Astyanax mexicanus: one gene and its partner. The main gene of each other region encodes a partner of the protein of the gene in region 2 in a complex. Links are inferred from orthologs where the notes say so. Each region holds a gene or a part of one and is shown on either strand. Other genes may lie near its edges.

Region 1 (7,617 bases), on a different chromosome or scaffold from region 2:
TCACCACAGCTTGTACAGTAGTCTATGTACAATGATGTTTATTGTGTAGTACAGTGTAATAGTGCTGCTATATCAATATCAATCAATATCAATGTATTATAAAGTGAGAATTATAAAAACCCATCCTCTCTTTCTTTCTCTCTCTCTTTCTCTCACTATCTACACTGTATTTTATGTTGCTCTAATGTTCCTCAGTGGTCCTTCTTCTGGTGTCCGTCTTTGTTGATGACGTTTTTGAAGAGCGTGAGCAGAGGTTTCTGGCTCCGTTCATCCCAGGACTTCATGAAGCCTCCGTAGCGCTTGCTTGCGGGCGGCTCGCTCCAGCGGAAGTGGTTCATCTTGTAGGAACCGTCCTTCTTGTCTTGTGGGCCAAAGGTGTCAAAAGGGCTGAACAGACTGTCCTCCAGGGGGTAGTCATTCTCCCCGCCAAACACCTCGCGCCTCATCTCAGCGGGCAGGGCCTCGGCCGACTCGTCCTCTGCCCCGTTTGTGTATACCTTGATGGGGCGACGTTTGCGGCCGACGGGTTTCCCCCAGCGGAAATGCTCCATGGAGTACGAGCGCTTGTCCTCGCGCAGTGTTGCTGGCTCTGGAGCGTCCTCGTCGGGCAGAGCGGCAGGGTTCTCACCCGTCAGCGATTCCAGCAGAGGTTGGAGATGACCCTCTCCCGGAAACAGAGGAGACTCCATCTTTAGATTAGACTTACACAACTTCATACAGTCCTGAGAGAAAACAGAAAGAAGTATAGAATCCCCATTGTTAATAAAATAAACTCCTGCTGCTTATGTTAAAGAATCTAAAAGCCTCTAGTCTCTGCCTACTTAGGGCTGAGACACTAGCTCCACCTTTTGCTGCCTCTAATTGGTGGTGTCGTTGGAAACGCCCATCACATTAGAAACCCGTAAAGGGGGTTAACTGTTATAATGAAGAGAATAAAGGCTATATCACAGCTATTACTGTCTCCCTACCAAAATACAGAGAAATACGACAAAAAGTAATGAACACCACATAAAGAAATGTCATTAAAAAGTGATTATTTTGATTTGATTTTTGATGGATTGGTACAGCTAAAAAAAACACATTTTTAAGTGAATTTCTGAATCAGTCCCCTAACTTTAGTTAGTGTAAAGCAAAGTGTCTTTGCATTAAAAAATATTTTAATAATATTTTAAAAATCAACAATCATTACTTTTTCAATGACATCTACATCAGTCAGAAAGAATTAATGCAAATTAACAATGTCATGTCATTATTTTAAAAAAATAAATTACGCCTTTTCTTCTTGAGACTAGGCTAAGGGTTAGATTATAATACTGGTTATTTAAATGTAAATACAATAATCAGTGTTAGATTCTCCTTTTTCTTCTTTTTTGTTTAATAGGTGACCATAGCCTGACTCAACTTCCTGTAATTGGTCTGATTAAATAAAGGGGATTCACACTGTAAACCGACCGGATCATCATCCACTAAACTTGACTATAGTTGGCGGTATATTTCACACACACGCTATTCTGGTTTGGATCAAACTGAAAAGTCTAAAATTCCAAATTGGACAAGGCAGGGTGAAAGCATCCTCAAAATCTGAACCAATAAGCATAACCTATATTGTTAAGCATGTGACATCTAGAGCTGCCACAAAAAATTGACCTAATCAATTAAAATTGATTAGTAAAATAATTGGCAACTAATTTAATAACTGATTAGTTGGGTTTACGTAATTATACGTAGATATATTATAAGTACAGTTGGTACCCCCAATGAAAACCGTGGAAGCAAAGCGCCTTGGCTGTATATCAGATAAAAATCTAATTTTGCTTCCCGCGTTTTTATCTGATTATAATTTGAAAAAAATAATTGACAGATTAGTCGACTATTAAAATAATCGTTCCAGCCCTAGTAACATCCGGAAATTATAATTAGTATACTTTCTTTTATCTGTAAAAGTTAGATTGATAATCTGTTGATCTTTTGTGTTTCATTATTAATATGTTAATATGTTATTACATATATTAGGACTCCCCCGTCACTAGTAATGCCCCAAGCCCGGAGGGTGAATACTAGCACTGCAAACTTAAAAATTAAATAATTTTGGCCAAAATAAAAAACGTTAATAAACTAATTTGTTATTGAATTAAATTAGTAAGATTAGGTAAACTGAATAGAATTGGTCAGCTTAAGTTCAGTGCCTCACCAGAATCTGTTCCTCAGAACTGAGGTCTCTGCAGGGTCCGTTCTCCCAGCACTGGGCGTTCACCTCGCTGCCGATCGCACACAGTATCGCCAGAGCCAGCAGCCATGCCGGACACGCCTCCATCCTCAACCCCATCACCGGACCTGCAGAACCAAACCACCTCAGAACCTCAGCCACAGCAGCACCAGCACTAATTCATCATAAATGAGCATATATCTGTGTCATGATATTTCATTTCATTACGTATCATTTTTTAAAACTGGTTAATTATTAATGGTTAGTTTAGGTGTAAAGATTAATATCAGAAGTGGTTAATTTAGTGTTTAAACTCTGCTCCCTAGATAGCAGTGTTGTACTTTGTTGTTAGATCCCACTGTTCTGATTTGATAAAAAATAACTTTACTTTTATATAGATTTTACAAATATAATTTAATATATAAATATAAAAAACGTTTTTAAACAATTGTAATATATGGTCTTGCTTTAAATCGTAAACAATGTATTGCAATATATATTGATGTATCGTCATCGTAACGCCAAGTTGCTAATACACAGCTGTAATATACCACTGTAACTTTTTATCAATATAGATGTCATTTAAAGATCTAAAACAAACTAAAGATAAAGTACCTATAAACAGAACATTACTAAAATAGTTTAGTTGTACAAAAGCAACTATTGAACTGAATACTGATTGAAGGATTTTAATGTAAATGGATGCAGTCAGAGACTCACCTGTTTTGATGATAAATGAGGATTGAAGTGATGAGAAGATTCTGCCGTTCTGTAACTTGGTTCTGAGGTCCGAATCCTCCGGCTGCTCCTTTTTATAAGCCTTGACTCGCACTGTGCTCAAGGACACGCTCATAGATCAGAACATGACCAATCCCAACCATTACAGCCACGACTAATTACCGCACACAGACCAATCCCAACCTATTCAGACCATCCAGCCACGACAAATTGACGCACACACAGCGACTGGTCGGTCGGGATTATCAGTTCTCTGTTAAAGAGAAAATCTGAAGGGCAGCAGGATCAGTTTACCTGACTTTAATAATAAAAGCTGAAATTTTAACTCCAACTGATTTTCCATACGTCAGTCTGTCCGGTCACCGACACGCAGGTGATAAACCTCTGTCCCATTTACAACTTACTGTAAATTAAAACACAAATTAAAAAAGATATTGAGTCATTTTCAAGAAAAAAAAAGATAAATATCTACCACTTAATGTTTATCCCCTACAGCTTTACATTTACCACATACCGCTTAACATTTACTGCCTACCGCTTAATGTTTTCCGCTTAATGTTTATCGCCTACTGCTTAACGTTTACCACATACCGCTTAACATTTACTGCCTACCACTTAACGTTTACTGCTAACTACCTATCGCTCACCACCTACTGCTTAATGTTTACCACCTACCACTGAACATTTACTGTCTTCCACTTAAAGTTTAAGGCCTACCACCTACCGATTGACATTTACTACTTACTGCCAATCGCTAAACATTTACTACTTAACACTAGAGGTGTACCATATCGTATCGTACGCGATAATATCGCCAACATTTTTGAATATCGTGAACGATATTATACCCTGAAATATCGTGCCATATCACCCACCTCTAATTATCACATCAGGGTACTACTTTTTTGGCTGTTTTAAGCAAAAGAAAAATTAACACTATTCCCATTTCCTATTAAATATATACTAGAGACATATTATATCTGTTCAGTATAATTTATTTTACTTTAATCCTGGATATATGGAGATATATGGAGTGCATTATTATTGGTAGTATCATCACATTCTGAATCATTGACTTCTGTTACAAATCTGCTAAAATCTGCTTGTTTTTTAAAATATCTTAGTTAGAGGTGTGCAAAATCATACCGTATTCAATAATAAAATGTAAGTTTCGTTTTGTTGCAGTAGTGTATTTTTAATTTTTTTGTCACATCACCAAGAGTATCGTTATCGCGATAATACCATGAAATATCGTGATATTATTCTAGGGCCATATCGCCCACCCCTACTTAACACATACCACTAAGCGTTAACTGTCTACCCCTTAACGATTACCACTGACCATCAATATTTACACACAGATGCTGAACGTCTGTCCCATTTACAACTTACTAAAAATAAAACACAAATAAAAAAAGATTTTTTAGGGAAAAAAATTCTTAATATCTTCCGCCTAGCGCTTAATGTTTAACTCCTACCGCTTAATGTTTACTGTCTTGCTTAATATCTACCGCCTCAATATTTACCACTTGTCACCTAACACTTATTGTTAACTGCTTAACGTTTTCTGTTTATCTCTAACCATCTCCAGCTTAACTGTTACCACTTGTAATATACATTATTGTAATAGTTTAAAATGTTTAGAGTAAATAAGGGAGCCGCTGTATTAAACTGGTCTAGTGTTGTAAGAGCTATAGATTGTATATGCTATAGATTGTATATAGTGTTGTATATGCTATAGATACTGTAGGCTGGCAGTGCCAGTGTGTGATGTACAGCACAGATTTTACAATGTTCCTATCCACATTACAAATATATCACTGAAATTAAGAAATATATTGTAATATAAATTTGGCCATATCATCCAGCACTATATTAAACCCATATTACCATATTTGCCCCCCACTTTTTGTTCCTACTGCAGAAGCTCTGCTGTAGGAATCCTATTAAAGAGGATTATGGGATAAGATGTCTGTGAGGAACGACGTTCGGCCCGGCCGAGAGTCTCTCTCTCTCTCGGGGAAACAGACGGGTCATGCCGTCTCTCCTCGCCGCCAGCTGCTCTGCTGAAATCAGGTAACGTTGCTTTTCTACACTTATATGTTCCTGTAACTTCTGTAAACACTACGGTCTATTTTAATATGGAAACTTAGTGGTAGAAATGTCTCCCAATAGATTTTAATACAAGTTAAAACTTTATTTGTCACATATAAAATCACACTCAGAACAACTAGCAGAGAAATGCAATCACATCAAACTACAGGGTATAAATAATAAAATGAATAATAAAATAAAAAAACAAATACCGGTAGAATATATAAAACACAAACAACAAATGAATGTATAACATTTAGGTAGAATGTAAAATAAAAGTTAAAACTAAAATATCAAACAAAAAGAGAGATGGAGAGATAGAGGGAGAGGGGGAAAGATGGAGAGAAAAAGAGAGGGAGAAAGAGATTTTATTATTTATATGTCACCTGGCTCTGTAAAACTTGTGATTAATTTGCATAAAAAAGTTTCAAAATTATTTTTAATGTTGACAGCACTATGTTTTATTCATGATAATTGCCAGTTTTCTGAGAATCCTGAAAAGATAAAAATGTACAACATCTTAAAAACGCTGGTTAACAGCCGGTTCCTCAAGTATAGAATTCAGCATTAATGAGAAATATTGAAATAATAAAGCAGTTTGTCTTCAAAACCTCTGGAATGTAATTAAGAGGAAGGTAAACTGCTTGATTTTTTGCACCAGGAGTGGTATAAAATAATCCAAAAGCAGCATGTAAGACTGGAGGAAAACATGCCAAGATGCATGTAAATTTAATTAAGTTAAATATTTGGATTATTCAACCAAATATTGATTTCTGAACTCCTAAAACATTATTATTGTTGTTTCTAATTGAATATGAACTTTTTCTTCTGTGCATTATTTAAGGTCTGAAAGCACTTAATCCCTTTGTTATTTTAACCATTTCTCTTTTTCTGTAAATAAATGGAATTTGGAAATTGGAACTTGGAAGAAATGCTGTAAGTAGTTTATGGAATTAAAACATTTACATATAAAAAGTAAAATCATTTTTGTAACTTGTGTACATTGTGTATTTTGTGTAACTTGTACTGTTGTAATTGGTGCTAATGTCTTAATAAACCATGATTATATAATGCACCAGAGAACAACGCATAAAAACTATTCTCAGACAATTAAAAATGTATCTAATTCATTACATTCTCTGACTAATTAATCTCAATAAATCACATTTAATCGCATTCACATCAAGTATTTTAATTACTGTGGAATTCAGTGGAATTTTATCTGAGGGAAAATAAATGAATGAATAACTGGAATAGACTTAAAATTTCCCTATAATGAACATCAGTCAGTAACAGATGCTGTAAAAACTGTATATTAAAAAGAATTAAAGTTATTATTGTTCCTTATCAAGGCTTTTCCTCCAGTGCAGGATGAAGTGGACTCTGCTGTACCGGTACTGGTACTGGTTGCTGTATTGCCAGACGCTTCTCTGCAGCACCGACACCCAGGAATCCGACTATCAGGAATCGGATTCAAGTCAAACAGACTCTTCTCAGACAGACACGCATCTCATCAGCAGCGGCCTGATGCAGTGCGGGGAGTACAGTAACGAGGTGATGCCAAACGGGCAGTGCCGCCTGATGGCCACGCTGCCCCAGCTGGAGGAACAGCGCTGTCCCGACATGTTCCGCTGCACAGACGAGGTTTCCTACTGGCTACATGAGAACGAAGAGCGCAAACAGCAAATGCAAGACCTGAAGGAGACAATCTCAGAGCTTCAGGAGGAGCTGAGAAACCACAGACATCGCATCAAAGTTCTGGAGTTACAGGTCAGAAAAAAAGAATCTGAAAAAAGGATTCATAAAATATAATTGATATTTTAACAAGACATAAGACAGAAAACATATTAGGATACACCCACATTTATGATTACAATTTCAAATAGGCCTGTAAAAAATATTGACATTGTATTGTTTGGCAATATTTTTTTTTCGTTTTTAAAAACACAGTACTGATTTTTAATTATGATATTACTTTAATTGTAGAAATTGGTGTCAGAAGGGGTTTATTTAGTGTTGTGTTTTAGCCTTGCCCACTAGAGGGCAGTGTTGTACTCAATAGATCCTACTGTTCTAATTGAATAAAAAAATTCTCCTTTTTTTATTTAGATTTTAAAAATATATATTTTTTTAAGATAAGTTATGGTGGATCTTTTTTACTCTTCATTTTTTCATACAACTATACTGTAAACTGTAAACCTTTTTTTACACTCTCACACAACTATATTATTTTCTTTTAAATAATGTTTTGAGCACGTGTAGAGCAGAGCTGCAGGATGTTATTAATACTGCTTTTGCTGAGACAAAGTATAGCGAGTGTTTTCCCAGTGTTCCCCCACTAATACCTCCTTAACCCTGTACAATAACTGGATTACACTGCAGCACCACAAACACATGGCCTGCAGACACTGCTGCTGTCAGAGCCTTAAAACAGTTTTTTATTCATATATGTATATAAATATTGTACTTTATGGAGAACATAAAGATCAGACGCTCAAACACATCTGATACTAGCAGCTAACAAATCTGATAAAATTCTTAAAATTAGGCATATACATTCAGCAAGTGTACAGGGAACC
Region 2 (8,103 bases):
TCCGTGAGAAGGCAAACGTTCAGAAGGAATCAGTAAACAATGAATCACTCAGACAACTGACTCAGCACACAAACACTGCTCTGGGTCTGGTGGTATGTGCTAGATGGTGGATCCTATTAAATCTCCACATTTGATTAAAAGCCTGCCTTTTACTAACTGCCATGACTTAAGCTCTCTCTGTTTATTCATGTTTATGCAGGACACCACGCCTGGGTTTAGTGGTGAACTAGGAACTGTGTTTCAAAGCTCAAAAAACAATAGACTCGTACTAGAGCGGTGAACCGGCAAGAGCCTGACGATACTATACATATCATGATAAAGGGGATACAATTTAATATATTGTGATATATTGCAATACTGTAAGCATGACAACATACTGCATTTTCTTTTTATTAAACTGTAGGAAAAATATAATGGTGTGAAAAACACACTACTATATGATTATATGATATATGACATCTCGGTAGAAGTAGAGTTCACCTTTTATCCAATCAGAACAGTAAGATCTGCACAACACGGTGGTCTAGTTGGAGGGATTTTAACTTAAAGTGAAATGAACCACTGTCTGCTATCAATTTTTACATGTTAATAAATAATCTATGAATTAAAATTCTATACTTTTTTTGAGAGAATCAAAAATGTATTACAAAAAATAATATATATAATATAAAAATACTATTATTTATTAATTGTTGTATCCCTACAGCAGATCTGATTTTACTACAGCAACATAAGAGATAGGAAAAGAGCAAACATAACATCTGTAACTGACCCTTTAAAATATTAACTACATTTAATAATGTTGTATTAAATTGAATGCTGCAATCATATAAACATATCTATATAATGAAGTACAATGCAAATGACTTTGCCTGTTTTAACATGTCATGAGATTTCTGTTTAAGGCATAAATTATGTATTACTGTCAGCGATAACAGAATTACTGATGAGTCAAATCTTTCCATCCCTGAAATGTCCCTGCAATTCTAGAATAGGCCAAACACACAATGAACAATAGAGAATGTGTTTATAATTCAATTTAACTGCCATTTTCATTTCTTCAATTCTACAGGTGCACAGAAATGAATAATGTTTGACCAAAACTTGAAACTGAGCAAAACTGGTTGAAGTCAGAATACCAAAACATGAATACCAAACATGTTTCTTTTTACAGGTTTGCATTATTACTAAACATTTTAACATCCCACAACATAAATAAGCCATTATTCTGGATAAATTACATTTTTTTTTTACATTTATGGCTGAATAATTCCGTTTGCCAAATATTCTATGCAACTCTAGTCAAGGAATCAGTCCCCTCCGGTACTGTCTGTCTCACAGTACAGAACTTAATAGGTGTTTACAACATGCACATCACACCAGACATCTCCACATCAGAGTAATATTACAGATGCTAATGTCACTGTAATACTGTTTTGTTTATATTTCCCTTGTGATTGTGATCTGTACTAATGTGACATTAAGTTCATGAGGCACTGACTCTTATAGAGTCTCTCTCCTTCTCTCTCTTTCTCTCACACACACAGCCATATCTGGCATGTGGCATAGCATGATACAGAAAAGCTTCAGGGAAGAACAGATTCTTCTCTACAGCTGGGCACTTGCAGAACAACACTGAAATGTAAGAATACCCTGCTAAACACAGCAGCATGGCCAGCTCAAAGCTGGTTAACCAGTCTACATTTTGACCGGAACAGAGTATGTTTTCATTTCAGTTTGAGGTTTTAACTGGTCTACAAGCATGATGAACCTCACCAAGCAAAACAACTTCAAGCTGGTAAACCAGCAAGGCCATCAAGACAAGCAAGACCAAGCTTGACCAAGCTGGACAAAGCTAGACCAGCAAGACCAAGCTGGTTGACCAGCAAGACCAACAAGACCTAGCTAGACCAAACTGGTTGACCAGCAAGACCAGGCTAGACAAAGCTAGACCAACTGGTTGACTAGTAAGACCTGCAAGAGCAAGCTTGACCAAGCTGGTCACCCAGCAAGACCCGCAAAAGCAAGCTAGATCAAGCTGGTCAACCAGCAAGACCACAAAGACCATCAATACCAAGTTGGTTGACTAGCAAGACCTAGCTAGACCAAGCTGGTCAACCAACAAGACCACAAAGACAAAGCAAGTAAAAACAGCAAGGCCAAGCGTGGCCACCAGTCTGACCACAAACAAATGCAACAAACTCTATGCTGGACATAAGTTGGTTGAGCAGCTAGCTCACCAGTAAAGAGCTTGTTTCTGCATGAAACTACCAAATACCAGATTAGACCACTAAAACTGTATCAAAAACAGAGTTCGTCAGCAGGGACTGACTCCCAATCCAGACCTTTACAGTGGTTCAACAGGTAGCCCACTCTCCCCATGTGTCCATAAGCAGCAGAGCAGAACAGAGCACCTGGACACCTGTGAGAGTTATTGTGTTTTTTTTTTTTTCATTCTTTTTTTTTGGAGGAGAGAAATAAAGAACCACAGTGAGTGACTCCACGCGTCTTACCTGATGATGACATACATGACCAGGACGTTGCCCACCAGTCCCAGCGCGCACACGATGGAGTAGACGGCGGTGATGATGATGGCGATGATCACGGGAGTGGAGCTTTCGCTTATCTCGCCCGCCCGGTTGCATCTGCTGTCCGGGTCTGAGAGGTTCGCGTTGCCGCTGAAGTTTCGGCAGAACGCGGCGCTGCTGCTGAACTGGGGGGCGTCCGACGCGTTCACGCCGCTCTCCATAACGACTAGCTACCGGAGTGAGGAACGGAGAGATCCGCGCAGTTTATCACTCACTACACTTCTACAGCCTCTCTCTCTGTTTCTTTCTCTGTTTCTCTCTCTGTTTCTCTCTCTCGCTTTCTCTCTGTCTCTCTCTCTCTCTCTCTCTCTCTCTCTCTCTCTCTCTCTCTCTCTCTCTCTCTCTCTTTCTCTCTAACCTCTCAGCACACCTGTGTATCTGCCCGCGCGCTCCTGACTCCCCACCGCAGTGTCCGCCGGCGCTCCTCACGCGGCCAGTCCTGTCATCAGCGCCCCGCGCGTACACGTACGCACACACACGCACACGCGCGCGCCCAGGGTTTCTCTCGTTTTATGCTGCGAAATGACGTCACGCACCAAAGGCACGTGACCCCAGGCTCGGGCGCTTTTCGAAAAGAGACTCTGAGGTTGCGCTTAATGACTGAGTGAAGAAGAGCAGGGAGTTATCTCTCTCATCAAAATCTCTGATTTTAAAGTCCTTTAAAGCCATTATTTAATTTATTCATTCTTTCACTCAGTCACCAATTAAATTTATCCTTAACGCACTGATTCAGGCGATGAACTGCATCACTCACTCATCATATACACCATACATTCACTTATTAACTGATTAATTCACTCACTCATTCAGGCGATGAACTGAATCATTCACTCATTATATGAATAATTCACTCACTTATTAACTTAATAATTTACTGAATCATTTATACATTATTCTCTCACTCATTCAGGTGATGAACTAAAGCATTCACTCACTCATTCACTGAATCATTCACTCACTTATTCACGCACTCATTTACTGAATCATTTATTCACTCATTTAGGTAATGAACTGAATCATTCACTCACTCATTAAATGAATCATTCACTTACTCGTTTACCAAATTATTTACCTATTACTGAATCATTTACTTACTTATTTACATAATATTTATGTACACTTTCACTGAGTCGATTTTTTTGTAATTTACTCCCTCTTTAACTAAATTATTACTCACTAATTTACTAAATGAATTACGTATTAATTTGCCGAATCAGTCACTTACTCTTTCACTAAATCATTCACTCACATATTTATAACATGTGACTGAAGCCTTCACTGAACCAATTACTCACTGTTTCATTAAATCAGTCATTTACATTTTTACTGACCCATTCACTCACTCATTTACTAAATTGTTCACTGAACAATTATCTGAATTATTCACTTTTTTATTTACTTAATCAGACACTGGATTATTCAATTACTCATTTATCACATCTGTCATTTACCCACTCATTTACTGAATCAGTCATTTACTAATTTATTGAATTATTCACTCACTCAATCACTAAACATATTTACTGGATACTAATTCACTCACACATTTATGTATTTTTTAATTAATCATTCAGTTAACTTATTTACTGGATTAGTTATTTACTAATTCACTCACACATTTACTGAATTCTTTACCTACTCGGTCTGATTCAATAGAACATTCACCCATTTACAGTGAATTGATAATTTATTCATTCAATCTATTCATTTACTCATCACAACATAAATTTACTGAATCAGTCACTCATTCACTGAATCATTCTCTCATTCACTGAATTAGTCACTCATTAACTGAATCAGTCACTCATTAACTAAATGACTCACTTATCAACTGAACCATTCACTCACTTAATAAATAAATCCTTAATTTGCTCACTGAATCACTCACTGAATCATTTACTCATTCATTGAATCATTTTATAATTTGTTGATCCATTCATTCACTGAATCATTCACTCAGTCACATGTTTATAACATGACATCACTCACAAAATTTTTATTCCATCTCACTTTGGAATTGGTATTTTTTTAGTTGGTGAATCACTTTAAACCCCTGACTGAATCAATTACTTCAAAAACCCTTCAGTCACTTGTTCATGGAATAGAAAACTCACACAATGAATCAGTTAATGTCCCCAGATGGAGAACAGGCCTGGTCATTGTATCTTCTCTTCATGTGTCTGTTTCACAAGCATCGCACCTGATGTCCTTCCATACAAAACACAGATCTGAAGACCTTCTTACATGTCAGAGCCACACTCTGTCATCCTCAACTCTACTGACCTCATGCCTTGCCTGGGGGGGAGGGGGGTCATACATGGGTTCTAGAAGGATGAATAAGGTGGTAAGATCTTTATTTATATTCCATTAGCTTGTTTTCTTGAACAGAGGATGGTTTTAAAGTCTTCATTATCAACATGTTATGAAAGTACGAGTAAAATGATTGAAATTCATTGATCACATGCTGATTCATGTACTTCGATTCATGTTTTCCATGAAAAACTCAAATGATAAACACTCCCTAACAGACACCAGATGACAATCAAATGCCTCAGAAAGACATCACAAATTGCTGGATCCTTATGCCATTGGTTGAAAATGAAAATTTACAATAAAACCCAATATTGTATAGATGCTGAATTTAGTTACTAATCAAAAGCAACAGTAAAATGGGGGTGGGGTGCCTTGGGGAGGGGGGAGGGAGTTCGAGGGTGGCATACACAATCACCCTCATTTTTTTTTTTGTTTTGTTCTTCAATATTGTAATGTACATTGTTGCTGGTAATGTGTATAAAAATGAAAATAAATAATAATAAATAAATAAATAAATAATAAATAATTGATCGCAAAAAAAAGCAACAATAAAATGGAAATCTAATTGATGTCAAACTTAACATTGTATAAATGTTGAAATTCCATTGGATATCAAACTCACACATTTAGCAATAATGAACGTTAGACTCTGATAACACTATACTGATAACTATACATAAACAACATTTTATCTTAAAACGAGTTGTTCATGTTTATGTGGGTCAGCCTATAATGTGGGGGTGGGGTTAAGCTAATTAAGAGCATTATGGGGGTGTGTTTGGGTTGGGAGTTTTACTCTCCAGGCTAAGAGCTGTGAGGGAGCGGTACCCTGTTCAATAAAAGAGCTTTTGCTGAGATCATGCTGCCTGTTGCTTCATCCCCCTGCCGGTCATTACAGTATTATATATCAGTGTAATGTTGGCATTTGACATTTGGAAGATAATTAGCCATGGGCTAATAAACATTGCTTCATTTGTAAATTTGAAACTAAAGAAATTTTCTACTCATATCTTGAGTTAAATTAATTTTCTTTTACATTTTATTAAAAAACTAATAAAAAAAAGAGTAGCACTTTTTGAAAGAAATGTAACATAAGAAAGGTAAAGGGCAAATATTAACCATGTAAGCTGTTTATATTGCTTGCAATTTAGGTGAAGCAAGCATGTGTAAAGCATTTTAATGTAAAAATGCTTGATTTTGCTGAATTAAATTCAAGTAACAAAGTAAACGAGTAACAAAAATATGAACACCACACAAGGGTTAACATCACAACTTAAAATCAACAAAATATTAGCTTTAGCCATTGACATTCATCTGCACCAAAGAGACGTTGGCATTTGACATGGTCCTGACATTCACTTGATCACTTGATAACAACCTACCTCTAATCAGATAACATTGTCTATCGCTGTTGGTGGCCAGGTGCATTTTTTTTTTTTTAGCTTTTTTTTAGTTTAGTTTATGAAGTTCTGCCAACAGAAACACAATACAGACACTCTGCACTAAAGAGTCAGGAGGCAGGATCTGCAGATGGCGCCTTTATTCACGTGCAGACAGATAATAATGCACGGGCAGAGCTGAGTCGATCAGCAGTCTGTCAGCAGCCTGGTCCAGTCTAAAGAATGCATATTTTCAGTGGGTTTAATATGCACTCTAATAGAGAGAGAGAAGAAGAGGCGGATGAAGAGGAGTTTGAGGAGCGGGTGAGGGGAAGAAGAAAAAGGTGCAAGAAGATGAAGATGAAAGGAAAAAATGCATGAAGAAGCCAAGGAGCGAGAAAAAAGGGAATATGGTGCTGAACAAAGATGAATAGGAAGGCAGTTATCACCTCAAAGACAGGAGGAAGAGGGTCATTTTAATGCTAATGCAGAAAGGAATGAGTGGACAGGAATCATGAGCAAGGTGATGATAATCATTTGGCCACAAAGACAGGGTTATGAACCATCAGAAAACAACACATTTTATAAATATTTTCTCTCTCAAGCACCATCTTCCCATCTTCTCATTCAGCTGAGCTCCGCTTTCTTTTACAGGCCCCTAACAGCTTTTACAACAGACAATAGAGGGTGTTTGCAGCAGGAAAATGAAGAAGGCACCAAGACTTCAAGTCATGAATCATTGCTGGGGTGCACAGATAGTTATAGTACAAGTTATGATCCAAGTAATACAGCTTTAGAAGAATTATATATTATATAGTATATGTATTATATTAGTAATATGAAAAAAAGCCATTGCAGAAGACCTTGACAAGTGGGTTATTATCAGAATACTGTGCACTTTGTTCCTTTAAAACTTTCTTTTCTTTTATTTATAATATTTATAAGACTTCAGACTACACATTTTTTCAGCTTAGTCACTTTTTATTTGTACTTTTTACTTCTTGTCATGCATGCCTGCACCCTATTACAGCTTTTCAAGTTCCTTACCTAGAGTGACCTAGAGTTGTGGATATTTTGAATTGTTTGTCATGTACACTGTCTGACCAAAAAAAGTCTCCACCTGGATTTAAGTAAGTAAATGATGTGGGGGTTCATGCTGCAGTTGGTCTGCAGGTTTAGGTTCAGCAACAGTATGTGCTGAAAGAATGAGGTCAGCTGACTACCTGAATATACTGAATATAGACCAGGTTATTCCATCAATGGATTTCTTCTTGATGATGCTCCCTGATGATACGGGTATATTCAAAGATGACAATGTCAGGATTCATGGGGCTGGAATTGTGAAAGAGTGATTTAGGGAGCATGAGATCATCATTTTCACACATGGATTGAGAGAGTTCACCACAGAGTCCAGACCTTAACCTCATTGAGAATTTTTGAGATGTGCTGGAGAAGGCTTTGTGCAGTGGTCAGACTCTACCATCATCAATGCTGCTGCAAGATCTTGGTGAAAAATTAATGCAACACTGGATTGAAGTAAATCTTGAGGCGTTGCAGAAGCTTATTGAAACAATGCTACAGTGAATCAAAGCTAAAGGCGGTCCAACACATTTTTGGTGCCGACTTTTTTTTGGCCAGTCAGTATACGCGAAACTCAATTTTTCTGTTTCCGCCTGGATCTCGGCTGCCTGGAAAAAAAGTCCATCCACTAATTTTTTGTGAATCAGTTAACAGAGTTGAGTTTCAGGAATCATATGCTTCTCTGAACTATTTGGATCACTCTCTTATTGTGACATCAACAGCAAAAGCTTATTTGCATAAAA

The links. Proteins that work in one complex are often made in the same cells at the same time.
Region 1: the proteins of oprm1 (region 2) and pomca are in contact, whole or in part, in a cryo-EM structure (PDB 8F7Q), measured with the Homo sapiens proteins. The link is inferred for Astyanax mexicanus from reciprocal best matches to the Homo sapiens genes OPRM1 and POMC. Residues at the interface, in NP_000905.3 of Homo sapiens: Ser66, Met67, Ala70, Ile71, Met74, Gln126, Asn129, Tyr130, Leu131, Met132, Gly133, Trp135, Val145, Ile146, Asp149, Tyr150, Met153, Arg213, Ile217, Asp218, Cys219, Thr220, Glu231, Lys235, Val238, Ile298, Val302, Lys305, Trp320, Ile324; in NP_000930.1 of Homo sapiens: Tyr237, Gly238, Gly239, Phe240, Met241, Thr242, Ser243, Glu244, Lys245, Thr248, Pro249, Leu250, Val251, Leu253.

The regions. Positions count from the first base shown.
Region 1 is NC_064421.1:29,040,650-29,048,266, reverse strand, and holds pomca (proopiomelanocortin a), read right to left. Parts: upstream 3,075-7,617; 5' UTR 3,060-3,074; coding exon 2,927-3,059; intron 2,335-2,926; coding exon 2,192-2,334; intron 723-2,191; coding exon 192-722; 3' UTR 22-191; downstream 1-21. Other genes in the region: angiopoietin-related protein 7, read left to right, coding at 4,980-5,020, 6,391-6,808.
Region 2 is NC_064414.1:43,643,105-43,651,207, reverse strand, and holds the start of oprm1 (mu-type opioid receptor), read right to left. Parts: upstream 3,086-8,103; 5' UTR 2,750-3,085; coding exon 2,514-2,749; intron 1-2,513. UniProt on the Homo sapiens protein: Receptor for endogenous opioids such as beta-endorphin and endomorphin. Receptor for natural and synthetic opioids including morphine, heroin, DAMGO, fentanyl, etorphine, buprenorphin and methadone.